Lytechinus pictus: one gene and its partners. The protein of the gene in region 3 binds, or shares a complex with, the protein of the main gene of each other region. Links are inferred from orthologs where the notes say so. Each region holds a gene or a part of one and is shown on either strand. Other genes may lie near its edges.

The links.
Region 1: thioredoxin-like protein 4A (region 3) and protein AAR2 homolog share a complex: the UniProt entries of both Homo sapiens proteins name them as parts of the U5 snRNP complex. The link is inferred for Lytechinus pictus from reciprocal best matches to the Homo sapiens genes TXNL4A and AAR2.
Region 2: the proteins of thioredoxin-like protein 4A (region 3) and polyglutamine-binding protein 1-like are in contact, whole or in part, in a crystal structure (PDB 4BWQ), measured with the Homo sapiens proteins. The link is inferred for Lytechinus pictus from reciprocal best matches to the Homo sapiens genes TXNL4A and PQBP1. Residues at the interface, in NP_006692.1 of Homo sapiens: Gly11, Trp12, Val14, Asp15, Ile18, Asp68, Phe69, Met72, Tyr73, Glu74, Met82, Phe84, Asn87, His89, Met91, Gly97, Asn98, Asn99, Asn100, Lys101, Leu129; in NP_001027553.1 of Homo sapiens: Gln241, Gln242, Arg243, Pro244, Tyr245, Pro246, Ser247, Pro248, Gly249, Val251, Leu252, Ala254, Asn255.

What each region holds. Positions count from the first base shown.
Region 1 is NC_087252.1:7,315,946-7,326,202, reverse strand, and holds the start of protein AAR2 homolog, read right to left. Parts: upstream 4,119-10,257; 5' UTR 4,010-4,118; intron 1-4,009. UniProt on the Homo sapiens protein: Component of the U5 snRNP complex that is required for spliceosome assembly and for pre-mRNA splicing.
Region 2 is NC_087247.1:12,957,535-12,967,852, forward strand, and holds the start of polyglutamine-binding protein 1-like, read left to right. Parts: upstream 1-4,977; 5' UTR 4,978-5,366; intron 5,367-10,318. UniProt on the Homo sapiens protein: Intrinsically disordered protein that acts as a scaffold, and which is involved in different processes, such as pre-mRNA splicing, transcription regulation, innate immunity and neuron development.
Region 3 is NC_087253.1:7,929,555-7,940,611, forward strand, and holds thioredoxin-like protein 4A, read right to left. Parts: upstream 4,834-11,057; 5' UTR 4,743-4,833; coding exon 4,314-4,742; 3' UTR 2,304-4,313; downstream 1-2,303. UniProt on the Homo sapiens protein: Plays a role in pre-mRNA splicing as component of the U5 snRNP and U4/U6-U5 tri-snRNP complexes that are involved in spliceosome assembly, and as component of the precatalytic spliceosome (spliceosome B complex).

The DNA of each region.
Region 1 (10,257 bases), on a different chromosome or scaffold from region 3:
ATTTTGACAACTTTATAGAATACACGAAAATAATAGGTACCTGATAAATCAAAATTTGCGAGCACGCAGCGCAAGCAGCAAATGTTGATAAAATTATTCAGACCATAAAACTGACATTTTTACAGAGCACTTTTTAAAAATCAATTTGTAAATCACACAAAATAATGAAAGTTCGATTTCTGAGGTGAAATATGTTTTGTATATTGACTTCCAAACTTGATATTTGAGCTCCATATTGAACAAGATATGTAAATCACCTAACAGGCAATGCGAGCGCGAAGCGCGAGCGAAAATTTTATATAGTGGCACGAAAGATTCTTTTTATTTTCCAAGTCTTCCCCTCATTTTATTTTATGCACTCGTCGTCCTTCTCTTCTTTTTATCTTCTCTTTTCCCTCCTTTTTTTCCTTTTTCCTTCTTTCTTTCCTTTTTTTTCTTTTTTTGCTCCGCCAATAGGGGGGGGGGGGGCTCGGCCCCCCTGGATCCGCCTATGGGGACAAGGGGCGGGAAAATTTGACAAGCAAAAAAAAGGTTATCATCCCAAAAGTATGGTCATCTCGTCCCAAAATACATGTTTTATTTCGATTTAGAATGATGTATTCTTACCATCATAAAATAGTAGGGGGGACTAAGCTTGTAACCGATTTTGCAATCGGCAACCGATTCCATTCGATTTCACCACAATCGGCAATCACTTGCCGATCTTCGATCATGCCCCTTGAAGGAAAAAATCGAAAAAAAAAAATCGGCGTAGATCTGGTTACAGTGCGTGATCGCTCAGAACATATTTCAAGATTGTTTTTGAGGTGCTAGCTATTTAGAGGTCGCATTATTCAGGGAGAAAGACGCGGTATTATCTATGGCGATGTTTAAGAGGAAAGATGGTGATAGCTGATGCCGCCGTGAACTTTGAAAGGTCGTATTACCGACGGAGCTCACTGCGTTACTCTCTTACATCGTTTATGATGATATACATTTTATTTTCAACCTCGTGGTGATAGCGGATGCCGCCGTGAACTTTGAAAGGTCGTACTATTGACGGAGCTCATTGCGTTACTCTCTTACATCGTTTATGATGATTTACATTTTATTTTCAACCTCGTGGTGATAGCGGACCCCGCCGTGAACTTTTAAAGATCGTGCTACTGACGGAGCTTACTGCGTTACTCTCTTACATCGTTTATGATGATATACATTTTATTTTCAACCTCGTGGTGATAGCGGACACCGCCATAAACTTTTAAAGACTGTACTATTGACGGAGCTTATTGAGTTACTCTCTTACATCGTTTATGATGATATACATTTTATTTTCAACCTCGTGGTGATAGCGGATGCCGCCGTGAACTTTGAAAGGTCGTACTACTGACGGAGCTCATTGCGTTACTCTCTTACATCGTTTATGATGATTTACATTTTATTTTCAACCTCGTGGTGATAGCGGACCCCGCCGTGAACTTTGAAAGATCGTGCTACTGACGGAGCTTATTGCGTTACTCTCTTACATCGTTTATGATGATATACATTTTATTTTCAACCTCGTGGTGATAGCGGATGCCGCCGTGAACTTTGAAAGATCGTGCTACCGACGGAGCTCACTGCGCTACTCTCTTACATCGTTTATGATGATATACATTTTATTTTCAACCTCGTGGTGATAGCGGATGCCGCCGTGAACTTTGAAAGGTCGTACTATTGACGGAGCTCATTGCGTTACTCTCTTACATCGTTTATGATGATTTACATTTTATTTTCAACCTCGTGGTGATAGCGGATGCCGCCGTGAACTTTGAAAGGTCGTACTATTGACGGAGCTCATTGCGTTACTCTCTTACATCGTTTATGATGATATACATTTTATTTTCAACCTCGTGGTGATAGCGGACCCCGCCGTGAACTTTTAAAGGTCGTACTATTGACGGAGCTCATTGCGTTACTCTCTTACATCGTTTATGATGATATACATTTTATTTTCAACCTCGTGGTGATAGCGGACCCCGCCGTGAACTTTTAAAGATCGTATTACCGACGGAGCTCACTGCGTTACTCTCTTACATCGTTTATGATGATATACATTTTATTTTCAACCTCGTGGTGATAGCGGATGCCGCCGTGAACTTTGAAAGGTCGTACTATTGACGGAGCTCATTGCGTTAAGTACTCTCTTACATCGTTTATGATGATTTACATTTTATTTTCAACCTCGTGGTGATAGCGGATGCCGCCGTGAACTTTGAAAGGTCGTACTATTGACGGAGCTCATTGCGTTACTCTCTTACATCGTTTATAATGATATAAATCTTCTCTTCAACCTCGTGGTGATAGCGGACCCCGCCATAAACTTTTAAAGACTGTACTATTGACGGAGCTTATTGCGTTACTCTCTTACATCGTTTATGATGATATACATTTTATTTTCAATCTAGTGGTGATAGCGGATGCCGCCGTGAACTTTGAAAGGTTGTATTACCGACGGAGCTCACTGCGCTACTCTCTTATCCCCTTTATGATGATAGACATCTTCTCTTCAACCTCGTGGTGATAGCGGACCCCGCCGTGAACTTCAAATTGATTTGAAAACGCTAGCTACCCAAAACATTTAAATAACATATTTCAAATCATCGTGCGTGCTTGCGTCTTCTACTACATTTTAATTGCACTTGCGACTTTAAGATGATGCGTCGTAAGAGATCATTCCAATAATTCTAAATCGCTAGCACCTAAAAATACTTCTAAAAGATGTCCCGCCGATCGTTCATTAACCTGTGATCTATGAGAAATATTTTCATTTTATTTTCCTTTGCGCCTTTGCTCGGAAGATGCGTCTTTCGTTTATCTTTCTAATAAAAATCACTCGGTTTATTTTAAAGCAATAACACCTCAAAACCCCTGGCTTTAAAACACGTTCCAAACGATCGCGCATGTTGGCGACTTCCATTCCAATAATGCATTCGTCTTTGTGACTTTGTCAGGAAGATGCGCGCGACCGCGAACAACATTTTGATGTATTCCTTTGTTTTTAAACATCGCCGATTCGATTTTCGATTCGATTTCGATTTTAGAAGCTTAACTGCCGATCCGATTTTCGATCTGATTTTTGATCCGATTTACAACATTAGGGGGGACATTTGATATTGTGTCCCCCCTACTATTTTGAGTAGGGGGGACACGTCCCCCCTGTCCCCCCTGGGATTTCCGCCCATGACCATGCCATGGCGCGCCACACACTCATTTCTGTCTTCAACATTTCTTTCAAGTTTCAGTCCAGCTTCAAATGCCTGCAAATTTTCATCTTATTCAAAATAATTACATGAAAATTAAGACCATTTTAGCCCCACGAGTTTTATTGGGTCAACGATCTTGGGCTCAGATCTGCCGCCATCGAACTCCTTAACGTTACTCATTCTCTAACACTACAGTAGTACAGTTAACGTTAGACAGCTGGCAGCCGTCTGTTTCGCGGAGTTTTTCAACATTTTTTGATTTTTTTAATTTCTCCTCATACACATATGTATTTGGTGAGTGGAGCCAACGTAGTTCAGCGTAACAACCAACATAACAGAGACCGAAGCTTTTGGTCTAAGTTAACGTTAACAATACTTGGCCAAAGCCACCCAAGGGTTCATTACATGCCGCCGCGCACAGAAAATTCAAGCCATAGAAGTCGTGTGTTGTGGACCCAAGAAGTGAGATCCCAGCACGTGCGACCCACAAGTTAGAAATCCACTGCCAAACGCGGTTCGTGGTGCGAGGTTAGTATACTAATACTAACCTCGCAATACGTGTGAGTGGGCCAAAGCCAAGGCAAAGGCAAAGCTAAACCAGGTCTCCGTCTGCAACAAACACAGAAGTGTACAAATGGGACTACGACTTATCTCAGCATAAAATAGTTCTTACTTTTACGGCTCTATGTATTGAGACAAGTCACAGATCATGAAAATATATTTAGACAATGCCTATTCATTACAATTCCTAATTATTGTAAAACCAAACGCTTTTAATTACTTACCAGTGTAATATAGTGATAAGGATCTGAAAAAAAAAATCGTCTGCCAAATGATGTGAAATTATATACAGTAGCCGGTTGCGCGGTTCGGTTCTTAACTTGCCAAACGGTAGTTGGCGCTAGAGCAGAAGTCGACAAAGGTTAACATTGAGTTTGACGTTGGCTAACGTTAGTTTTTCTTTTGTATTGCCGAACGTTAGAATGTTTTTGGGGGTCTTTATATTTATCATTGTTGTTATAAATGTAAGTTTTAATAATTGGGAAGACATCGATGGTTTGATGGAAGGGAAATGGATATCAAAGCGTATAGCTATCTCTTCAAGAACAATTTTTTTTTAGTTTGTGTTTTGTTTTCTTTCAAGAAAACATGGTAATGATAAAAATAACATAGGGCCTATATAGTCATCACCACTCCTCCACAACCAGTATATCTTTTTTATTTCTTCTTTTTGTTATCTACTGGAAATTTGTTAAGGAATATAATGCTGATTATTTTCAAACATATATTTATTTTTAACTTTTGGGAATAAATACAATTATATTGGCATCACCCTACAACTGAATGGATTAGGCCTTTATGATACTCTGCCCCATCATATTTTCATGTTTATATCATGTTTTCCTCATCATATCCATTCACAGTAGGTAACCATCATCATCATCATGTTCATGATGATGATGATGATGATGATCATCATCATCACCACCACCATCACCATCTTCTTCTTCCTCCTCCTCCTCATCATCATCATCATCATCACCACCATCACCATCATTTTCCTCCTCATCATTATTATTCACCACCACAGCAGCATCATCACCATCATTTTCACCACCGTCGACCACTGTGACCATCATCATCATCATCATCCTTCTCTTCCTCATCCTCATCATTATTCACCACCACAGCAGCATCATCACCATCATTTTCACCACCGTCGACCACTGTGACCATCACCATCATCATCATCCTTCTCTTCCTCATCACCATCACCATCTTCTTCCTCCTCCTCATCCTCATCATTATTCACCACCACAGCAGCATCATCACCATCATTTTTACCACCGTCGACCACTGTGACCATCACCGCCATCATCATCATCATCACCACCACCACTATGATCTATCACCATTATTAGCTTCATCATCTTCATTATCATATCTTCATATCCTTATTTCTTTATATCTTACACAAACAACAAAATAGGTGACACACTTAAAACATTTTATTGGCTTAGAACACTTTATTCCAAATATGAACAGTGAAATGATCAGCAATAATTAGCAGTTCTAAAACAACTTGAAATTTGAATTACATAAAGATGAGAATAAAAACTTACAGACCAGAGTAAATATCGAGTCCTGAAGATATACCACTGAGAACTATGTATGAAATCAATTTCATTACCATGCTTACTTTCTCATTCTGTTAGCTCCTTTTTTTCTACAAAAATGAAATGTGTGCATGCCGACTGCATTAATGTTCTGCAAAGATCTCAGTGTTTCTAAAAAACATCACCTCTAAATTCTAATGTGACCCATATGTCTCTTCATGTTTGGTGCCTTGTATTAAAATTCATTCAATATTAATTTGACTTCCATCATTTAAGAAACTGCCTATGACTTCTGAAGTACATTTTTGTTATATTCTTTTGATAACAGCTCACATGGGTCATATTCTCCCCCAAAACAATAATTTTATTTGGGGGAGTGTTGACATATTTTGTACTCAAATTAATTCCACTGTAAATTTGCAATCAATGATTTAACTTTTAACAAAAGCTAAGAAGAAGATACTTGCAGTTACAAGAAACAAACCACTAATAAACTACAATTTTGCAATCAATCGCAAGACTTATCACTGATTGAACTACAATAAAAATAAAAAAACTTGAGCGAGGAAGAAATATTAAAGAAAGGTACTAACAAAAAGGGAAAGAGAAATAGAGGGGATATCAATATTGTTCAACTTAAAAACAAAATACAATTAATGGTTTTTGCAAGAGCAATGGACATGACTTAGTCTTTAAACTTAGTCTTCTCTTATCTTCTTATATGCAATGATATATATATATAGTTAGCGTATCCAGCATCAGCAATGACCAAGAAATGTATGGGCCCATGCACAAGCATAATAGAGTCACTATTGTCCCCAGACAATTGGGCCCATGAAATGCTTTGTAGGATCTGATGCTGGATACATGCCTGGTATCCAAATGTTTGCTATACAATCAAATATGTACAAGAAATGCACAAATAAAATAATGTACAATTTGATAGACCCCATAAGCTAGGGGAATGTCACATTGCGTTCTGTACACCATCCATAATTATCAAACTTCAAGCACCTCATGGCCATACGCAGCGGGGGGGGGGGGGGGGGGGGGCAAACTTTCATTTTTTAACTGAAAATTCACCAAAAGTACATGTATGCACAAATCCTTCTATTTCATTTAACAGAATGCAGAGGCGCCCCAATGACAAGCTCAGTCGCTTTGCTCTCTCGAATTAAGTTTATTTCATTGAAAAAGCCAAAAAATTCTGCTTACGGCCATGAGCATCTTAGCAAAAAATCATTCTTTGATACTTAATGACACTTATTATTAAAGATAATAATAATATTACCAGCATGCTTAATATATAGCGCATATCACTGCCAAATGCGTCCCTATGCGCTTAATTGGATATTATTACCCTGGCTATAGCCCCACAGCCTATTACAGAACGGTGGCATTTCAAGGAATAAATTCCTGCCAAGTACCCATTTACCTCACCTGGGTGGAGTGCAGCACAATGTGGATAAATTTATAGATGTGATACGTACAATTAATGTTCAAATAATAGTAGCTTGTGCAATCTGACCCAAGAGGGGCATGTCACATTGCGTGCTTTACATCATCCAAGCTTGATAGTTTTGGAAAAGCACCTTTCACGAGGAAATTTCATTCTTTGAAGCTACAACCTCCCTGTTCTGCAGAATCCGAGGTACATGTAACATTGAATGGCAACAGATGGCAGTCTACTCATTAAAAGTAGAATTTTTTTTTTTTAGGGTTGACTAAATTACAGTTTATGTCACACTATTCTGATATTGAGTCAATCAATTTCTCAAGTCTGAGTACTTCAACTCAGAATATATTCATCTTGGAATCCATTCCAAGTCATATTTGATTCCACTAAAATGAATGAGTACACATGGAATTTCATACAATACACACTGAACTCAATGTCCAAAATATTAAGAACAGTATTAAACAGGAAGTTTCCTGAATTATTCTACTTCTTTATACAGCTAACTCATAACATGCCTGCAAGGTTAGGATTATTACTTTTTAGGGGCCATTCTCCCCCCCCCCACAATGGTGCAATTGCTGAATTTTTTTAGTATTTGAGAAACCACATACACTTTCATGTACAATGAGCAAGATTCTATGGACCCATCCAGACTCAGGGTGGAAAGCAGTTGTGCGGCCGAGCAAAGAACGGCGATTGACTAATTTATACCAAAGAAGTGTACATTTTAAAGACCCCCGGTGTAGACCATTACACCCACTAAAGGGATGCCTTTCAATTACAATATGTGTAATATTGGTATTACTGCTCATGCATATCATTTGTCGGTATGTTATTATTATAACATCTTTTTTTTTCCTTGATGATGATTTCCACACTAGATCTGAATGGGTTTTTATGGTAAAAGCTGCAAGTACATGTATCTATTCATTTAAAGAATAAAATTGACAGGTAGATCAAAGGAAAAGGTAGCAAAGAGAAAGAGAGAGAAAGAAAGAAACAGAAATAGCTGAGAACAGACAGTGAATAAAGAGGGAGAAGGGGGAAAAGAGGGAGAGAAAGAGAGAGAGAATGAATTAGCAATGTCAAGACAAAATTTTATCAACTCACAACTACATATGGTATACAGAACAAGCATATAAATATAATTTGTTCATTAATGTACATTATCACTTTATTGAAATCATACCTTATATCTACAAAAACAAAACATTGTGAACCATTTTAAATAAAAGATGGGTGCATCATCACTTCTACAGTTCAAATCATGTCAGGAATAGATTCAATCATCACCAAGAAGTAATTGGGCACCATTCAAAGATTAACAAATTGCTTTATAAGTGAAATAATTGATAGGCAACTGCTATTACATTTATTCTCTGAAAGTCCTGAAACCTTTTAGATATTTCTTACTTTGCAAAAAATATGGATGCAATAAATGGTTGCAAAACAAACATGCTCTTTCAAAATACATTCTGAGTAGACTAGTAGAAACATAGCAACAAAAGTTTGATATTCTTATTTAAAAGCTAATTATGAATAAAAAGGTACTTGAGAAGGTCTCCGTTCATAATCTGTGCAATCATATTCCATGAAAGTCGCCATAGCAATAATAGATCACTGACTTTAATAACTTGAAAATAAATTGAAAACAATGATTTTCTCGGAAACTGCATTCTTTCAGCTCAAGCAGTATGCCACTCAAGTTTAATAAAAGTAGAGACAGTGATTTTCCGTTTAAAAAAAAATTGTATTTTCCGTTTCAACTTGATCTAAAAATGGAAATTTTGTTTTGTCGCTGAAAATGTACACAGCAAAAACGTGAATTCCGTTTTGCTAAGGTGAATTCCATTAATTTTTACATGAAAAGTATAAGAATCAAACAGAATTTCTGTTTTATTTACAGAATTTCTGTTTTATTTACCGGTAAAACGGAAAATCTCTGTCTCTATAAAAGGTGCGCACTAAGACATTTGTGAGGAGTAACAGAATTTTTACAGAAAATATTGATTATTAGATAAGTACATTAGTAGGTAACAACTAGAATAATAATATATAATAAACATCATCTAGATTTAATACGAAATCTAGATAACAACAAGATAAAAAATTTGAAAATTCTATGTCTGATTATAAGGAAGATTATTTCCCTTTAACAAACATATAAATATAACTCCAAGGTCCTAAAATGTAAGATGAGTTAAATGTGTAATTTTGTTGAAGAGTTAACATTTTTATTATAAACCAAGGAAACTATCTGAAAATCCATCTACAAATAACTTCACGCATCTAGACATGCCTCTCAATATCACATTGAGAAATTCTAACTCTGACCTTGGTCTAAACTTACAGCGAGTTTCCAACAAAAATTGTTTGTAAGTTCAAAACGTGAAAACAAACTCCACTTCAGTTTCAATACAATTCCTGAAAAATATAACATCTTCACAATGCTGTTTCGTAAAAGAAAATAATCAGCATGGAAAAGCAATCTTTTCTTACCAATTTTAAGAAGAAAAAAATATTTACATATGGCATTTTGCACCCATTTGGTTGGCCGAAGTAACTGCTTCAACCATACATTCTACAGTATCAAAAAACAAGGAATAGATAACAATATTTATAGACGAAATGGATACAACTTACACAGTTAATACATCTTCAATGTTAATTACAATATTCACAAATATAAATGGATATCCAAAAATGTACAATCTTAAACATGATAAATGCAATCAAAAAGAAAAATTACATAAGTCAACTGGCTAAAGTACTTTCTGATTGATACTGTACAATAAACAAGCTAACCTTTTTTTTAACAATCTTTTTCAATATTTTTTCTACAAGACGCTAGAAGCTGAGGGAGCAGAAAAAAGAACGATTACTCAAAGCAGATTAGTTTGCTGCAGTTTCATGCAAAAAAAATAGTAGAAAATTTGAAAGCAATCCGATGATAAGAGTTGATCATGATTGTCAACTTCTCCTTTTGATTTCATTTTATTTCATCATCAATGCCATATCACGTTGAAGATGGGCACATTATCGTCTTTGGCAGAATTTTTACAGAATTTCTATTCAAATGGATCTTCACTCAACACACTGAATAACGGCTCTTAATGCGAGAATTGGATGGAGAGTGCACTTGTGTTGATCCATCAGGGTCAATGAACTTTTTTTATATGTGTATGTCGGGGTCAATGAACTTTTTGAAGTGTTATTCAATTATGTTTTTAATCTTTAAATTGGCAACAGTATTTCCTTACATTTGTGATTTTTTTAACATCTAAAGTTTTTGCATCAGAATAAATTGAAAATTATCGAATTTGCAGTTTTCAAAATGTTGTCAATATATTCAATAATTTTAGTGATCACTATTAATTATAAGCATTTCATATTTCCCTTTCCCCCCTTTATTTTCATTTATTCTGCACAATTTCTATAGCCCTTAAAAAAATTGGTA
Region 2 (10,318 bases), on a different chromosome or scaffold from region 3:
AACAACAACTGAAACCAACATTGTTTGATTACTGAGCTGCAAAAAAGGTAACTAAATAGAATATAAATACCACTATAAAATGTCTCTGAAAGCCCTACAAATCAAAAATCATTTCTCATGCATGGAATTGGTTGAATAATTTATGGGGTAGTAAACCCTGACAAATAGTTTGTTTTTAAAAATACCAGAAAAAATAATAGAAAATATTGGTGAAGGTTTGAGGGACAAAAGCTAAATATTAGAATTTGAAGTTTTTTTATTTTTGTCATAACATACAAGCAGCTACCATAAATTTCAACTCTTTTAATGGTTTATTAGTAAAAATTTTCTTCTTTCAGTAGCTGGTGTGAAGTAATTTGTAGGCCTATGTTGAAATAATTATACTGAAACAATAAAAACCAATGTTTTTCTGCTATTTCTCTTTACTTTGTACCAGTATATAAACTTTTGTCGGGGTGAACTTCCCCTTTTAGGATATTTAAAATCTTTGATAGTAGCTTTCTGATATGCAATCACTAAATTTGTAAGATAAATGATCAAAGCACAGGTTTTGAAAAAAAAAACATTACCGAGTGATGCAATCACATCATCTTCGCACACAAAATTTATCTTATCGTGTTCTCTCTCTCTCTCCCTCTCTCTCTTATTATTATTATTAGTGATTAGATTCTTTTAATGTACCAAATTGAGCTTCTGTTTTCTTTATTCAACTAAGTTTGCATACAATGAAGGACAAAGACGCACAATATTTTGGTGGAGGTATTCACTTCGCTACATGACAGGTCAGATTAGTCTAATGCCAAGGACATTATTGAAAAGAGAATTAATAAGCAAATCCATTAATCCATCCACATAGATAAATCTGGAACTTGGAATCGACCTGGCGCCCTAGCTAGTGCAGATAATCTACAGATTGAGGAGCATTACTCCATCACCAACCAACCAACTAACTCAGCCTATTTTCAACTTTTTGAATGAATACTCAAGTCAATCAACCAATCAATCAGATAATCAATCAACTATCTTTATCAATATCACTAGCTACCTTCATTTTCTTATCTCAATTTGAAAATATCACAAACAAAAGGGTCTGGCTTAATTGATATCCCATCAAGAGTCAACTTAAAGTCAATAAAGAGACTCACTAACTCTAAGCCTCCGGTCTAAGCCAGAAATCATAAGACACTTGATTAAATACCACCTGTAAAAAAAAGTTTGCTTTCCTTTAAAAAAAAAGAAATAGGTTTACAGTAATAATAATAATAATAGTGACTGATATCTTATTGAGCGCACACACCGTCCAGAAACGCTCACGGCGCTAGCGCAGCATCAGTTCCTTTGGATACAAATATTTTATACATGTATATATTATAAACAACTACAAAATATAAATAGAAATAAAAATCTTAAAAATCAGGTCTAGCTAGATACCAGCTGTAAAGGTGAATCTACCTACCAGTACCACATCTGTAAAATATGAAATATTGTATAATTCAAACAATAAAAAACAAAAGAAATAGTGAGTGATGGACATCGTTGACTGTCTCGTTTTGTCACTGAGTTGTGCATATCACTGTTTTGTAAAAAATAAACGAAACTTGTCTTAAGAATGTCATAACTTTCTTATTTTACATCTGATTTTAATGAAATTTTCAGCATTATTCTTGTTTGATTTTTCTCTATTTATTTAAATCAACATTTATCTGGGGTGGACTTGACCTTTAAGTTTTATCGCTCCCTCGGACAAAAAAACAATAAAATTGTTTGATAAAAACATAGAAATTTGATATTTTCAAAAGAATACAATCTTTGCAAATTAAAACTAAAAAGACCGTAATTGAATGCAACATTGATAGTATACAGTTCAAATTCATACTTACAATTACATATACGTTGCCGCGCATTAGAATGGATTAGAATAGAAATTGATGCGCCGAATTCCATGGATGCACCCGACCTTGATCTCTACCTCCTTAAACTCCCTGGTTCAGCGAGAAGAGTTGGGGACAGTATTTGGGCTACCAAAGTTTTTGGAGAATCTCCCTGCCTGGTGCCAGCTCCTGGCGACCTGGCCCCGGTCCTGGCCATACTAGTACTAGCTGACCTGCAGATCTGTCAAATCATGGACCTATGACTATGTCACCAAGATAGATAATAATTAATAAGACCCTGACAACCAGACGGTGGAAATCATGTTTCTTAATTCTCGACCAACCACTCCAAAAATATTAGCAAACGGTCTATGACGTTCCCATCACCGAGTATCTAGCTAGCTGTCATGCATGCACTGCGCGCGGTGCTGCTGGTATACTGCACGCACGGTGTTCAAAGTCGTATTTCGGGGAATCCCGGATGGATTTATACGTGTTTGACTTTCACCTGCGGGCATTATAGTCTGCAGGCACAGACCCTGATTGAAACTTTGATCAACAAGCTAGTGGATCTCCACGCAAAGACTAGCACATATTGATACAAAACTTGCTGTTTCACCCGCTGTTTCAATTGAGGCCTTCGATCATTTCACAAGGCATTAATAGACTGCACTATCAAACTCTTAACTCGAGTGAAGGGTTTGCACAGTAGACTACGCGGACATCGCCCTTCGAGATGTGGCGGCTGCGGGGGGGGGGTAGCTTATTAATACTTGTTAGTTGTTTTTTTTTCAACATAATTAGGCATTTCATAAGGACTGTATGCGCGAAACGTGAGCTGGATTTTAGGATGATGTATTCAGACATGAGAGTCTTGAGACCGTTTGACACATATCAATCAAGGTATCTGTTTTCCCTATTTTTTGTTGTGTGGGGGGGGGGGGGGGGCGGTAGGCATTTGTTTCTGAAGAAAAAAAACTCTGTTGCATACAAATCATACAAGAGTTAGTGTTCCTATAAACTACTAGTATGCGTAAAATACCGAATTCGCTCCGCTCATTCTATTCTTACAAGAATTTGGTCATGAAAAGTCCCTATATTAAAAGAGAGTTTAACAAGTCCATTTATGAAAATGTTTGATATGTTACTTTTAAATATCTTTATAACTTTGATCATAATTCATAAACCATTTGAAACAGGCTTTGAATACACTGGCGTGTACGATGAGTTAGGCCTACTGGCGACATTGACCAAATCAATTGAATATTTCAATTATGAATTTTTCTCAAAATTTTGGATCTCCCTATATTTTCTTTCAGATATTATTCAAAATCTTTCCTTTCTGTAATATTTTCCTATTTATTTGCATAATTGTGCTATTTACATGTTTATTTAAGTTTAATGTTGCCTGTGATGGTTTCATAAAGCACCCTTTTTCCCGATGATTATGATCCCATTTTTTCGTCCTCAACCCACCATTAATCAGTGAGCAAAAATGAGTTTTCATTGAAAAAAATCTGGGATGCTTAATCCTTTTTTACTCTTATCATATTTCTTTCTCCTTTATTTCTTAAGTTTACGTTATTGATAATTTACCTTTATCATATCCTCTGTAATAATATATGCATATCATTTTTAACTACTGAGGCAACCATTTCTCCAATAATTACACACCCCTTGAAAGACGATTTTGGTCATCATTTTGTCTTCCAACTATAGAAAATTTGCTCGCTCGCTTCGCTTACTCGCTCGCATATTCATATAAACCGTGCCCTATTTATAACAACAAATCCACAGCCATCGAAAAAAAAATGGGATATGACTTTAACTGAAGGGGGTGCATGTACACGGTTGTGATACGCCCGTATGCATAGCCCTGTGAGGGTGCCCCGAAAATTTTGAATTTTCAAGTCAATATACATGTACATGTATTACTATCATTCCCCCACTGCTCGGACAGTCAGACCGGATTTACACCAGTGCTCTCAAGTTTAGGATCAATGGTGCCCCCATTTCAAATATCATCAAGTTAAATTGGCGCCCCACAAACAATTTGAACATAAAAAAATGGGATCATAATTATCGGGAGTAAGGGTGATAAATTTATGAAATCATCACAGGCCACAATATTTAACTTAAACACGGGTCGTGTGGTCCAGTGGTTAGAGCATTGGACTCATAATCGGAAGGTTGTGAGTTCGAATCCCCATACTGCCATTGTTTCTACTTTGATAAAAAGGCCCGAGAGTAATATCTGTCGTCTACAATGTCAACCACTATGACTGATTAACCTAGACGTAAAATGTTTCCTAGGTAATTGATTATATACCAGCTTGGCGTTTACCCGCCAGTAAATATGCTGTCCTGCCGAGTTCCTATAAAACGGGAGTTAGGGTCTACTACTATTCCGCCCATGATTATTTCTCTCCCCCTATCCTCCCAAATCTCTTTCTTTACTCTCCCCCTGGTTTATATTAATCCCTCTTTTTTCCAATCTCCCTTTTCCCCCTGTTTATTTCTCTTCCCTCTTCTTTTTTTCCTCGATCTTTTCCCTCTTTTTCAGTTCATTTTGGGCGATGCGGCCATTTCACCCAATCGGGGGAAGGTGGATTATACTACCACATAAAGACCTATAGCAAATAAATATAGACCAGAGATACAAATTTCTATTCGGGGAACGGGGATTTGACAAAATTCTACTCTAAGTTTCGGATTGAATACCCCACCTTTCTTTTCTTTTTTTATTATTATTTTTTTTTTATTTTTTGCAACTCAAATTTTTCTTGGCCAACCAGCTCCCTTCTCATAAAATCATTTCGAGGCCCCTGCCATTGGAAGGCCGTGGATTATACTACCAAACAGAGGAAGAAAAAAATGCACATTAATCATACTACTTTTTATGATTTGCCACCTACTGAGAAAAAAAAATAACTGGAAAAAAATCCATGATCATGAATAAAAGGAGAAAAGAAAACAAAATTGAGGAAAATAATGTAGCCTTTGTAGGTATATTCATTTTCTAAATAAGTATCTCAAAGTCTGTCACAAAATTATATGTGCTTGTTTTATTTTGGGGTCCAAATTCGCTTCCTAGCGACCAGAAGGTGGTCCGTTCTGAGAGAAGAGGAGGAGGAGGAAGAAGGAGAAGAAGAAGAAGACATTTTCGTAAAATATTTGCCCCCACGTGATGCCCCTCAAGATTATTTTAGCCCATGAATAAATGAATAAAAAATAAGCCATACTTCTTTACAAACTCTCACTCAAAATAAGATAGGGGCCCTATCATAGGGCCTATAGTTTGGATGGGAATATGGCCTGTGAGAGGGTGAATGTAGAGAGATATATACAGCTAGAGTCTACGGGAGTCGAGCTTCACTGTGCATACGCATGTGAATTGTGATGTCCTTTAATTTAATTTTGCAATTGGGTCTTTCAGAGATATCATAAATTCGCAGATGGTCTAAAACCAAAACTTTTGCCAAAAGGACTCAAAAGGTAGGTCTATTTACGATTTCACTCTCACATTTTGATTTTACAATGTACCGCCTGCAATAAATCTTGAATTTGGAAGAAATTGAATATTCAATTGAATTGCAAATATACTGAATTGCATAAACAAAGACTCTGTTGTGACTGTGTTAATATTCATTTATCTTCACTTCAGTCCCATCTATTGAATTTATCGTCATTAAGTAAGCCGCGTTCGCCAGCTCTCAATCGATCAATCAAAAAAAAAAAAAAAATGGCAATGGACAGTCACAGTAATGACAATGCGCGAACAGACGTTGGCTTTTGCTCAAAGAAGAGAAAAGCTGAGGGGAGATAGAATTAGAAAGAAGAAAAGATAGAAACTTACAGAAAAGTAGACTAGAAAAATGAGGAAGAAAAAGTTAAAATTTTAATTTAGTGTAAATTTTGAAGTTTAACTTTTTAGTTTTACTTTTAGGCTTCATTTAAAATAAGCTAGGCAGGAATCACTCACACTAGTGCAAGGTTAGTATTAGTATACTAACCTCACACAAAGAACCACGCTTGGCAGTGGATATCTATCCAGTGGGTCGCGCGTGCTGCGACGCCACATCTAGTGCACGGTGCGGTGTCCACAACATACGACTACTAAGTACTAAATTACTTTACTATGGTAGGTACGCTACTCTAGCGCGAGAGGGCGCGATTTTCGCGTCATCATTTTCGCGTACGAAAATGGCGACAAGCTGCTTCGGGAGCCGGTGCGAGCAATAACGGCAAGCCCTACTTGAGTCTCCTGTCTAGGATGGTAAACGTATATCAATGGGAATGAAAACGATGACATCATCTTCCCAATGCATTCAGCTATACTGCACGGTAAGCTCTTGCGACGGAGGGTCGAGATCGGAACAAAAATTGCACTAAAACAGTCTGTAAGTACAGTTTATGCATCAAATCATCATTATATGTTATTTTCATGGAATTATCAGACATATTACGCTAAAAATACATATGCTACTCGAAAATTGAAGTCGTAAGCTTTCATTTCTTACCTCATTCATGGCAGCATTTCTTGCCACCATTTGCCACGGACGAATGTTAAACGCCCTTGCTATTTGTTTCGTGGGATTTTCGTGGGAAGTTTGGCGACGCGTTTCGCGGGCTAATTTATGGCGGCTGCTAGGGTTTTTGGTTGCCCGCGGTGTGTAGTCCTGCGCATTGGAATTTGTGTAGCAGACCGTCTACCGTGATATGTCTGGTATTTCTTTGATTTAAAAAAACTTTTTCTTTTTTATAAATTAGGAATCGAAAACCAGACACAAATGTAGAAATCAGAAATACATCCCACACTGACACACATTCATTTTGATTGAATAAAATATTGAAAAAAAATGGCAAATGACGCAACAACTTTCTGAATCTTCTCGAACCTAATTGTAGCCTTTACTTTAGGTAATGTACTTTAGTCTTGATTTATTATTTGATGATTATATTCTGTTGAAAATTCATGTAACATGATTTCTTTTGGCCTAATCAAACTTAAATTTTTTATTATTTTAAAAATGAATGGCCTAGATCTAATTTAATTCATTATCATTTTAATTTTCTTTTGTTTTCATATTTTTATTTTCATTCAGATTAATTTCTTACCTCCATTTGAGCATGGCAATACTTACTGATCTGAAGTCGAGGGGCCCAACAATGAACAGACTTGGGCTGCATGAGCCGTCGAATATCTGTGGCTCCAAGAAAGCGTGATGGAAATGCCGCCTTAAAAAAACCAACCCCACCTCTGCCTCTGGGCTTTGTTCTTGGCGATCCTGCATTCCATTCAGACTGCAACTTTAAGCAGGAATTGTTCTACCAACTACTTAATTATTCACAAATGTGAATTGCAGCTTTTAAATTGACAAGAAAGAAACAATTGATTTATCTCACCCCCCCCCCCCAACTGTCTTCTAACATTTTCTATCACCCCAAACTAACACTTTTTTTCTTGTATGTCTGTTTAAATATTTTTATTTAGACTTTATGTAATTTTTTCATGATTTATTTAAGAAGTATGAGCAAAAAAACAAACAATTTGGCACATGCAGTAGAGAAGAGAAGGAACATAGCTTAGTGTTGAAAAAGGATACACATACAGATCTGAATATTAAAATAAATTAAAAAAAGAAATGACAAATCCACACTGACACATGAAAGTATTCATTTTATTTTTTTTCCTTGTTGGCATTGGTTACATTAATTAACTCCACATAAAAATATAAATTGGATATTTTAACAGTATTAATGAAGTTGCTCAATAAAATTTAAAATTAGGTATTCTCATTGGAGGTAATGGTTGATACAGATGGGTGGGTGGACCTGCAGCCACTAGCGTACCTATGGGGGGGGGCAGACTGCCCCCCCGACGAGTCACAACCCATGCAAGGGACGTATCCCTGCCCTCCCCCCCTGATGAGCCACCGGTGGCCCCCTCCTTTGAAGTTTAAGACCGAAAGTACGAAATCCTTTATTTGTGGTTGAAGACTTTTTTGCTTGTCAAATTTTTGGGCGGACGATTTTGCCCCCCCCCCCCCCTGTGGAAAATCCTAGGTACGCTACTGCCTGCAGCTCTATTGTTTTATTAGATTTTCATTTTTTATTGCTGGGGGGGGGTATTATGTAGAGCTGAAGCCAAATGATCTTATGAGGCAAGATTCAGTGTACAGCTCAATATGATGCATGTAAAGTGATTTATTAAACTTTTGAAATATCAATTAAGAACTGGAATGATGAATGGTATGAATATAAGAAATATATTAAATGCATGTAAAGTGATTTATTAAACTTTTGAAATATCAATTAAGAACTGGAATGATGAATGTTAAGAATATAAGAAATCTATTATATGCTAGTTCATCACAACTTTAGCTGGATCTTGCTGCAGAAAGTGCATCGTGTAGTTCTACAAATATCTCGGGTGAGAGGCAGTTTGGCAGAGCGGATGCAATGCTTCATAGGGCCCCTAACATTTCTGTGGTAAGGTCGAATCCAAACTGATGTTTTCATCAAATGATACAGCCTCCTGGCTACAAAAATTTCCTGTAGATGAAAGAGAAAACAAAATAATGAATGCAATGAAATTGGGGAAAAAGTGAGGCTAGAGGAGCAAAAACAAAAGCAAATGGTTGTAAAGTTAGTACAGGAGAGGAACAAAATGAGAAGAAAGGAACTCACAGAAAAGGAAACAAAACAGAGAGACAAACTTGAGACTAGCTCCTTTAAAAAAAGTTCTGTATGGTGTACTATGGATCTGTAAAAATATTTTAAAATTATGTAAAGTTTCAAGGATTGAGCATGCATAGGAAATCACGTAAAGGCAAGGATATCAAGTCACGAATAAAAACAAAAAATGAGGGGGGGAATGGGAATTACATCACCCCCCCCCCCACCCCGCCTCTCCAAAAAAAAAAAAAAACGACTTTAATAACTTGTCAAAACTCTATCTAGTATCAGCTTATGTTATTATCCTTTTTAATGTTATTGTTAGGGATCGAGAGAAAGGATGAACGCGGGGGGGGGGGTGCATTTTTCGGATTCATACTTTCAGGCATCAGTGTACTGAAGGGGAACATTTAACATAGGACTACAAAAAATTGCGGTGGACAGACAAGAAACAAGAAATGATGATTAAAATGAAAGAAAAAATTCTCGATCTCAAAACAACTTGAAAAAAGAAAGATGCAAAACCAAATGTTATCAACTCACTTACATATTATATTTGAAATCCATCCCAATGGTCTTCCATGTCGTAATTGTGCACTGTAATTCAGATAATCTAGTTAAAACATGTGAAATTAACTTCAAGTCTCAAATCAATCGTCTTGCACACTGTGCCTTGCAAAACAACAAAATACTCCGATATATGCGTATCATGAACGCACATGCATATTTATGAGCGCCGCGAAAATGACCAATCTCATTCACAAATGATGCGCACTTACGCTTCGTCACCATGCCGCGAGAAGCGTTTATGCGCGATGTAAAATCTCTGCCCCGAATTGGCAATCCCCGAATGCGCATGCGCGGTGGTGATTGATACTCGATGGTCGACAATTCGTTCGGAATGGATAATACTTAGAAATCATTTCTTAAAAAAATCATAACTTGAGTTATTCTTCATCATATGTCTTAATCAATGCATCATCGTAATGGGTGACACATTTTCTTTATGTTGAGGTAAGTTTCAACAGATTTGGATGAAGATTTGAATTATCAGTGGCGTACCTAACTATGGCTTGATTTTTCTGTGCGCTGTGGCATGTAATGAACCCTTGAGCAGGAATAGAGGATGAGAAGGAAAAATGAAAAGCAAGGAAAGTGAGAAACTGAGATGGGGGTGGAAGAATGAGAAAGAAAGAGAAAGTACAAGAGAGGAAAAATGAAGCCCAATATTTTTAATGGGCTTAAGCGGATTACCAAGTTTAAAGGGGAAGTCCACCCTGAAATAAGTTTGTTGTAAAAATTAGCACAAAATGTTGGTGAAGGTTTGAGGAAAATCCATTATAGATTTAGAAAGTTATTAGAATTTTTAGTTTTTGATTAGTTACATCATAAACGAGCAGGTGCCCCATATGTTATGTAATAATAAATGCATTAATTTCAATTTTTGAATGGTTTCTGATGAATTATTTTTGTTGTTTTTAAGGAACGGGCGTGAAATGCTTTGTCTATTGATATATTGAATGTACAGTAAAAACCATTTTAAGTTTTCTGAGAAAATGAAATTTCATTGATTTTCTACCATACGATCATTGTATGTAGGAAAGTTGCTTGCATATTATGTCACAAACCAAATAATTAAAATTCTAATAACTCTTTTTATTATTTGATGGATATTTCTGAAACCTTCGCTAATACTTTTTACTATTTTTACAATAAACTGTTTGTCAGGGGTAACTTCCTCTTTAAAGATGGTCATTTCTTCTTGGACC
Region 3 (11,057 bases):
AAAAATTGGACTTGGTCTGTTTTTATATTCAGATACTCAATTATTCAACCAATCGTTATTATATAAACTTGCCTGGTGGTATTATGGTATACTAATTTGCGAAATTATATTCAAATCTAGTATTAAAAGAACCATTACATAGACCAGACATTTTGACTTTGAAAGCTGAAGTGATTGGTTGGGCATGGGCAAAAGTATGTGCCGCATCTCTAAACCAGTATTTTCTGCCGGTGTCTTTCCATTGCATGTTTACACATGAATGTCATGTTCAGAATTATTTTAAAGATTTGCAAAAGTGAGACCATAGGCTTTCATTTTCTTTTGTTTATGTTTATCAAGTGTTCTCTGAATGAGAAAGTAGGAAAGCTAGAATCAAATTCCTTTACCTTGTCTGTTCAAAATATCTTTACACGTATGTCTTGTCTTCTTTCTTACCTTTTTTATTGGAAGTTCAGCGTTATTTTATGATTTTTCCATTTTCTCACCCTTTACCTCTCTTCAATTTCTGTCTTCTTTTATGCTACAGTCTATGCCAAATGTTTTATGTTGTCATTTCAAAGAAAGATTAAAAAATGTCCAAGGTTGGAGACTAAAGAGTGGAACTTGGAATAAAGGTAGAAATTTATTATTCTGTATAGTACAAAATAGAAACCTAATGATACTGATTATTCAAGAACTAAGTTTTATTTGTGTTATTTTGTGAGAGCCTTTTCTCATATAGGATACTTTGAAACATATAGGATAGTGAAAGAGGGAGAGGGGGGGGGGGTGCGTGACAGTCAGATAAGACTCATTGGCTATTTGAAGAGAGAGAGAGAAAGTAAAAAGGGGAAGAGAGAAAGAGGGGGTTCTGAAAGGGGGGGGGGGGGGTCGAGACCAAGGGCATAGTGGAAAGGGGGGGGGGGGTGGGTAGTGGAAATGATAGGGTGAGTGAATGAGAAGAGTGGAAAAGTGAAGGAAAAAGGAAAAGTAACAGGAGGGTTAGTGCAAAAGAGAAAGGAGGAATACTGGAAAAGAGAGGAAGGATGGGGGGGGTGAGATGATTAAAAAGGAATATGGAAATGTGAAATATAAAGAAATGGGAGACTTGTCCTCGCCACAATTTACTCGTCAAGTTTCCAATTTGAACTTCAGTCTTGAAATTCAACCTTATTTGCAAATATTCTTTACAATTACATTCTCATTCCTTGATTAATCTTTCAAACTTTCCCATGCAGCTCTCATTTTTCTCCTTCCACACATCAATTCAGTATGATTATCTTTATTACAAAGATTGGATTACCATTTAACGGTAAATTGCTGATTTGTCTACTGCCACTCATCACATGGTCTACCTTCATTTAGTCTGCCATTCCGTCCAACATTTCGTCTAACAACCGTTTGGTCGAATCATCACTCTGAGCATTTCGTCTCACAAGCAGTTGGTCTAATATCCATTTTATTTTCATTCATTTTGCCCAATTTACACTAGTCTTATTCCAATTAGACCAAACGGTATATGGACTAAATGGCTATTGGAACAACTGGCTAGTAGACAATATGGCGAGTGGACGAAATGGCAATTAGACCATGTGGATAGTGGACGATCTGATTATAATAGACCAAATGATTGTAGACAAATTGGTAATAGACCAATTGAAAATAAACCCATTAACATGTATTGTTTAGGTAGACCTTCAAACATTTCAACTTCTTCCTGATTTCTTGTGGATGTTCTGTGTTGCTCGATCTAGTCTCCTGTTCTTCTTGCTTCCCTCTCTTCGGAATGTTTCATCCACACATTTTCAGTTTCTCTTTCTCAAAAGTTTATCTTCTTCCAATTTTCCACTGCCCATTTTCTCCATCTTTCATGGGCTCCATCTTTCAAAGAGTTGTGATTGATATGGAAAGCCAGGAATCCAAAAACCTTGACAATCTGTTATAGAGGCGAGCCGCTGCCTCACAAATATGTGTGCTGCTCTGCTTGAAGAATTATGACATTGATGGATTTCCATATTTGAGATTTATCAGATTAATTACGACTCTTTGTGAGATGGGCCCCAGATCCCTCCTCATCTGGTAGCTTTCCATCTTTTTTTACCTTCTTTCCTGGGCCCTGTGACTAAGTTAAAAGCGATTAAAATGAGCTGATTCTATGATTATCATTCAATTTCATTGGCCGAGAGTAAACTTGTTATAGAAAGCATGCATTTGTTATTATAACAAGTCTTTATGAAACATTTCCAGCAAGCTTTTAACATTCACCATTCTGTTCTCATGATCTGTTCCTTACTGTTCACTTTTCTTCTTTCTTTTTTCTATCAGCCAACCTCCCCCCTTTCTTTTTTATACTGATTTTTCTCTCTTGCTGTCTTTCTTGCACTTTCTTTTCTCCATATGTATTCATCTCTCTTCAAGATTAAAGCCACAATCACATTATAAATTACCTACATGTATGACCAACTCAGATTACACATGAACATTCAGTCATTTTTTTTTTGGTTTTCTGTTTCCATATTTACTACAATGTATATAAAGAACATTCATGTTAACAAGTTCAATGTACATTTACACAGTTGTGACTTCTGAATCAATTAATCATGACCAAATAAAATCAAAGAAAAAAAAAAGTTGTAATATTAACTGCTATTCTCCGGGTATCTGAAATACTGGGAGGGGGGGGGAGGGGGTTGCACTTGTGTCAAATAATGGCCTTTTAATACTGACATGTATTCAGTAATTGGAAAGTCAGTCCCACTTTGTTGAACACAAAGAAAATGTTTGGGTACATGTACATGTAGCACAAAAATATGTTCCAGAACTTTATAAAGTTGACGTTGTCCATAACTATTAAAGAGCTTTACACCCCCTCCCCCTTTGGCTTATCAAAAATATGTCCTCTCTCATATTTTCATAATGTCTTTCACGACATCCAATCGGTGGCTTGGATTAAAGGTGGCATGGTGTCATAAAATTGTGACAATGTTGACTTCAGTGAATGAACAATCTGGTTAACAATAACTCTTCAGAAAAATATTGTAAGTTTTGAAACTTGATATGATTTTAACAACAAAATGAACAAATCTCCCTCATGTAGAAAATAAAGATCACCAGGGTCCAAGGGGAACTACATAAAAGTGTCAAGCCTCTAATAAACTATAATACTTCCCCATCCAATATTACATGTACCTGATGATATCTGGGCCGTTTTATAAAGCTGTTCGTAAAGTTATGCACAACTTTATGCATGACTGGAACACGTTCTTAGGCGCTATAAAATCCGTTCATTTAGCGCAAGAAGGGGTCACCAGTCGTGTGTAAAGTCTTATGAACAGCTTTATGAAACGGGCCCCTGTAACACAAGTTAGCGATTAATAGCTACATGTACATGAAATTACCAATCAAGACCATCGTTGCATGCGCAATTTTGCTCGGTAGACTGACTAGGAACCAATCTTTCAAGTTAGCGATTAATCGCTAACCTTTGTACTACAGCAGGCCCAGGAGTGCCATAAACTTAAACATACTACATGTACATAAATGCAAACAATGTCCGACACATAATTAAAGCTGAACGATACACAGGTGACACTACCCAAGTCAAGTGTCTTGGTAACACAGAAATCTGTTGCACTTAACACAGGAGAGACATATTTTTCATATTCAGGAGCCCATTTCATAAAGCTGTTTGTTAGTTACGAATGACTTTACGCACAACTGGTGACCTTTCTTGTGCTACACTATCCACATGTAACTGATTAAGCACCAAGGAACATGTTTCAGTCGTGCGTAAAGTTGTGCGTAACTTTATGAAACACCACCCTGGTTTGAAATTTCTGGAGTTTAATAGGCTTACTTGACTTATTGAAGGTCAAATATGGAGAATGTACTGCAGTGTATCTTGAGATAAAACCTGGGGAGCGTTTCATCATTCGAAAGGACTTGTAAGACGTTTTATCAGACAAGTACTGATTTATCCGACAGTTACTATGTTAACAGTGCCTCTCTTACGATCATAACCAAGGAAAGTTGTCGGATCCGACAACTTGTCGGACGAAAATGTTGATGAACTACTCCCCAGGTGATCGTTGCGATACTGTAAACTGTACATTTGATTCAATATGTGATAGCCCGCAACCCTACTATACAACATAAATCAACAAATTTACCAAAGCTTTGCAGTTCTGGTGTAGCTGAAAAAATAAGAAAATGTTTGAGGAATGATGTTTCGTAAAGGCATGGCACTTGCCAGTATTCATTTCCAAACCAACGTGTCCTCAATCGCTGCCATCCACAAATCCAAACTGTTGGCAACAGAGATGCGGTAGAGGACATTAATAACGGTATTTGGTAGAGTAGTCTTTGGGTGACACCACCAAACCACGTCCTTTCCTCGCGCCCCTGTACACTGTCTCCACAATATCAATAACCTCCTGTTCATCGTCTATAGCCCAGTTGATCTTATTATTGTTACCGGTACCCAGATCTATCATTATATGCTTGTTCCTGAAGAAGAACATCATCGTGCACGGGTCGTACAACTCGTACATCTTGTTAAAATCAGGCACTTTTGTGATGTCAACAAGGTACACCACAGCAAAGTTTTTCACCTTGTCGCAGATCCGGTACAACGTCTCGTCCATCTTCATACACGTCGGGTCCCAGTCGTGACCGAAGCGGATGACGACGACGCGATCCTCCTCACCTAGGATGGCCTGGTCGACCTGCCAGCCGTTGTGGAGATGGCTAAGCATGTAAGACATCTTGGCTTAGTGGTCGTCTTATTTTCTTCAGAATGCAAAGAGATTGAGGAGAGTAAACCCCCACAACGGTTCAGTTGCGAACACAGCGACTGCTTCAGAGAGAGATAGAAAATATGATTTTTGAGGGGTGAACAGCCACAGTTGATAACAGGAGTAAAGACGTCTGTCTTCAGATTATCAAGAAATTCAGGAGAGTAAACCCCCCTGCAAATTACCAAGAAGTCAAAACATGTGAAGCTGCTAGCTCAGGTTTATCTGATGATAGAACTTCCTTCAGATCAAAATCTGATCTCTGAAGCAGGTGTCATCGAGAAGAAGATATGCTTGGAAGACCTGCAAGGGAAATATCAAGAAAATATTTTAAAAGATTACACTTTTTAGCAAATAATCTAGAACGACTAATTTAAAAATAGAAAAAAATCTATGTACCTTTAATCGAAACCAGCTGTACAAGCTTTGTTCGTTTGTCAATAATACGGTCTCCCAAAGTCTAGACCTATACAATGAAAAGATTAGACACTTCAAGGACTTCGCGTAATGCTTTGCGTCGATTTGCGTGTAAAATAGTTAAGGTGCACACCTTAAAGGTCAAGTCCACCTCAGAAAAATGTTGATTTGAATCAATAGAGAAAAATCAGACAAGCACAATGCTGAAAATTTCATCAAAATCGGATGTAAAATAAGAAAGTTATGACATTTTAAAGTTTCGCTTATTTTTAACAAAATAGTTATATGAACGAGCCAGTTACATCCAAATGAGAGAGTCGGTGATGTCACTCACTCACTATTTCTTTTGTTTTTTATTGTTTGAATTATACAATATTTCAATTTTTACGAATTTGATGATTAGGACCTCCTTGCCTGAAGCACAAAATGTTAAAATAATGGAATTCAACGTGTTCAGGGAGGAATGAAACTTCATTTCACATGACAATGATGAGAAAATCAAAATATTTCATATTTCATATAATAAAATACAAAAGAAATAGTGAGTGAGTTATGTCATCAGTTCCCTCATTTGCATACGGACCGAGATGTGCATATAACTGTTTTGTGAAATGAAGCGAAACTTTAAAATGTCATAACTTTCTTATTTTACATCCGATTTTGATGAAATTTTCAGTGTTATGCTTGTTGGATTTTTTTCTTTTTATTCAAATCAAGTTTTTGTTGGGGTGGACTTGTCCTTTAAGACTAGGCACCGGTGCCTAGTCTTTCCCCAGTAGTATACTAATACTAACCTCGCAATATGTGTGAGTGGTCTTTCCCATGTCGTGTCTTTGATATGAATATAAATCGTGCGCCCTCTTTAGGCCAAAAATTGATGTTGTTGCCGTTGGACAGGCAGTTACGTCAAGAGCAAGAAAATATGAGGAACAGGGTGCTAAGAGAGGTCACCAAAGGGACTTTCGTCGATCAGTAAGTGAAATGGAACAATTTGATGATTTTAGATTTCATAATTTCATGCAATCGCATGCCATGGAAGTTGCATGCGGCATGCCTAGATTTTCCCGTGCCCAGCGGCATTAGCCAGGAGGCTTCTACTAGTTCTAGAGAGTAAAAATTATTTACAAACGTATGCTTACTCTCTACGAAGCCAGGGATTCCATCCTATTCATCTGCATGCCGCCAAAAAACTTTCGCCCCCGAGATTTATAGTTTCATTCTATAAAAAGATCTAACTTTGTTAGACCTAATCATGAAATGGGATACAACTTCATTTCCGACATTTCTACGCTATCGATTTATGAAATATGAAAAGACGGAGGAGACTTGCCCGATGTTTACGCCGCCATCTTGTTTCCTATTGTTCTTCCCCAACGTTACTGACGCACGCGTTAAAATGAAAGTTAGTATAGATCTATTACTAACCTCGCACTACTCATATACCGTCCATAGCGCTAGCGTGAGTGGAATGATTAAGACTAAGAGTAGAAAAACTAGAAATCTCGGGGGCGAAAGTTTCAGGAATTCAGGTTTTTTGGCGGTAAAAAACCTAGATCTACAATACATGCATGCAGATGAATGGAATCCCTGGCTTCGTAGAGAGTAAGCATACATTAGTAAATGAATTTTACTCTCGAGAAGCCTCCTGGCTAAGCGGCATGTCATGAACCCTTGAGTGGATCGAATCTCGACTCGAGCTCCGCAACGCAGCTCAGCCTCAGTGCCGTCTCTGGCGACTGGGCCTGCCTGAATAGCGGGGCTCTGGCAGCAGTTACCGCTAAGCAGGCCCGCTGTGCTGCGGCTCAGCTCTGATTGAAGAAGTCGAGTCCTGCGGTTGGGCTTAATATTTTTTCAACAGTGTAATACTCTCAAATTTAATGAAATAAATGGCACACATTGTAGTTTAACACTCACCCTATAATTTAAATAAATTTACAACATGATAGTTACTTACAGGTTACACAGTCAAAGTTTGGACACGGAAAAGCGATAAGTTCCCTCTTCAAGTCTTTTTATGACTATTGACTTGTGAAAATTGTTGCTACATTAACAATGATGATATGATCAGGCAGGCTGGGACGTAGATGGCGCTCGACCTCTTCAAAATCAGACGTGCTCCCTCCTTTTTTCCCCTCGTGTGGTAGCTAGGCAAAATGATCTACCCACAGGGGGGGGGGGGGGGGGGGGGGGGGGATGGGTGGGGTGAGTTACAGGTGTTCAACCCCCCCCTTCAATTTTTTTTATACCCATCTACCCATCCCTTAGAATTCAAACCTTGCTTGTCAATTTTTTGGAGGGGGTAGGAAACGACTTGTGGTGAAGACTCCCCTTCGGGGGGGGGGGGGGGGCGGGTTATCAGCATTTCATTCAGCTTGAACCCCCCCCCTTTTCAAAAATCCTGCATACGCTACTGTCCACCCATTAAAAAAAAGAAAAATAAATAACTTCTGGGAACACTTGAGTAACACAGGGGTGGATTTAGGATCTTCCAAGAGGATCGAGTAGGGCATTTTCCCCAAGGAAAATTTGACAGGCAAAAATTAAAAAAAGGTCCGCACTTGTGTACGAATGAATGACATTTATATCCCCATTAAAATAATTGCTGTTGATTCTTACAGGGTGGGGGGGGGGGGCACACTTGTGAATGCACAACATATTTCATTAAAAAATATTAACTATGACTCTAATTCTAGATCGTATCCTCTCTTTTTATTCCTTCCCATCTATTTGTTATCTCTCTCTATTTTACTCTCCCACTATATTTCAGCGGTGCCATAAAATTTGAAAATTAGTTGAGAGTGAGCTAGACTCCCGTAGGCAAAGTATATAACTTAAGTGTCAAAATGAGTAAGATCAGTAGAAATGGACGGAAATGGAACACAATTTTAGAGAGAGAATGGACGAAAACGAGTGACTCTCACTCTAAATGAGCGAGAGTTGGCAACCCTAATATTTTTTCTTCTCCCTTCCTTCCTCTCTCTTCCCTGACCCTTTCTCGCCTTTCCTGATATCCTCGATCTCTCTATTTGTTCCCCTTTCTCCCCCTCCCTACCCTCAAGGGAATACAACACACCGTTACAACAGAAGCAAGACAAAGAAGACAAGCATGTATTCCATGTGATATTCATCAAATCATTCTATTGATCATTTCTACAGAAATGATTTTAATCGAGAATTTTATCAATTCATACAACAGGACGCATTTTCATACCAATCTGATCACACTCTATACTGGTCATTTATTCCTCCTAAAACATTAGATTTCATGACTTGTCCTTGCTCATTCACCAATTCTTTTTCTGAGAAATAGGGTAAGTTGGCCGGTTGTCTGCATCCACAAATTCACAAAAGATGTATCAAATTAAATACAGGACTTTTTTTTTTACAAATATGATCTCAAAGTAGATGATTTAGAAATTGTCAATTTGAAAAATAGTGCAAAAACATCTAAATGCATATAGAGGTAATGAAATAAATCAGAAAAATGACCTGCTATCAGATAGTAAAAAAAAAGAAGAAAAAAGATCACATGCTATTACTTCTTTACAGACTGATATAATTATATATTTTCAATATCAAGGTGTTTCAAGCTTGCAATTAATGAAAAATTCTTTTATAATAAATTCTATACATTGAAATCTGCCACTGTAGTGTTAAAATTCATTATTTCAACCAAGGTTTATACCACTATATACATATCACTATCAAATTTGAGATTCATTTACAAACAAGATATACAGAGTGGAGAATGAATACACAACAGTAAATTTACATTACATTTCATGTATTGAATACAATTTTCACGACCATTGTACTAAAATAGAAAATGAGGAAGAAAATAAAACTAGCTATGATATTACTAGTTGAGTGAGAAAACATAAATCAATATAAAAAAGGTCGCATGGCATTTCTAAGAGCATGTACACGTGTAAACAGACTGAGACAACTGACAAAAAATACATTCCAACAAAAATACATAACTGGAAAATGTTAAGTTGTAGCATTGCTTACTTGCTAGACTGTGACAATTTGAGTAAAACTCACTCTTATAACTAATTTGATTGATGAAAATGAATATGAATTCAATGCAAATAAACTTAGGATATTTCGTGTGGCTGACTTGAAGATGATGTATCCTTTTCTCTCTACTTACATGTGTTTTCTGACTAATCAAATGATGGTGATAATGGTAATACTAAGATTAAATTTTCATGCTAAAATTAAAGATAAATTCCAGTTGTGGGAACGATCTCAAAATGACTTTTTACAGAATTTAATATAATGATCACCAAAGTGTCTGTTTGTATGAATAAAAAATATGTGCCAAAGGATTCTGGAAGAAATTGTGTAATTGCTGAGAAATAAGCAAAATAAGCGCAGATTCGGTCACTTCTGTCGGGTCTTTATTCCAGCAATAATAATACACTGTCCCACGTGTGCCTATCTGTGTTGGCGATCTTCAGTGTGATCGTTTTTTAGCTAGATATTATGATTTCACAAAGTTCAGTGTATGTAACTGTACCTGATCTAGATCCACAATGATATATCAATACTTTACCTTGGTTTTACAGACTTTCTCACGAAATCAGTGTTTTACGGCAACTACGTTCATTTACATGTAGCTTTAAACTGAAAATCAATGAAAATGAATGAACGGTTGATGAAAATGGAATAAGGTGAAACTTAAATGGTGACAATAATATGCATCATAATAAAACATATTTTCATTCAATGTGGTATCAAATATATACACCTACTTAAATATTCATTAACAGAATTCCCCTACTCATGGCTTAGTAATAGAAGTTTTCATTACCATCACCCTTAAATAAAATTTCTAAATGACTTCTTGCACCCAACAGAGTAGATTTGGTATTACATTCAAAAGTTTCTATCAATAAAAACATTCAACCTTTTTTAGCTCTGTCAAAGGTACAAACAAATTTTTCATTATAATAATTCTTGTTTGGCTAAGTACTAGTAGTTGATCCCTACTACAAGGTGATTCTCATCAATTTGTTTTCTAATCAATGAATGCATAATATTCAAAGTTCTTATGAAGCGTTAAGAGACGTTAGATGATATTGTGATATATAATACTAATAATAATAATATAGGGTATTTATATTGTGCACATATCCACCTTGTTAGGTGCTCAAGGCGCTCCTATATTACCCGGCTAAGCTAGGCGTTCATAGCGCACACAGCTTTTTAAGGAATTACTTCCTACCGGTACCCATTTACCTCACCTGGGTCGAGTGCAGCACATTGTGGATCAGTTTCTTACCGAAGGAAATTACGCCATGGCTGGGATTCGAACCCACGACCCTCTGTTTCAAAGTCCGAAGACTAATCCACTGGGCCACAACGCTCCACATGGCATACGAGTGCAGAATATTGTTATTATTATTCTAAACAGCAAAAAATAAGACTGGAAAACCAAACCCTTACCAAATGCCACAAGAAGACCTATTGCAATACAATTATACATATAAAAATTACAAAACATACTTGAAACGATTCATATAGCCTAGGATAGAATTTATTACACATTTTTGTAATAAGCACGCTACTATACGACATTGCACAACCAGAGGGTTTGAATCATATGACATTTACTACATATACACAGTACAATGATCACTGCCACATCCCAGATCACCATTATCAAGTACATTTATGATGGTGATAAATGTATTCACTTTGAATCTATATTTTTGTCCATTTCTCATGTATGACAACACAAACAACATTTTTTGGGGGGTCTGAAATAGGCACACACATCATCTATAATCTGATTATAATGAAATACTTGAGAAATGACATAGTTTTGAGCGGCTTTGAAAAAAAATCAAATGCTAAATTATA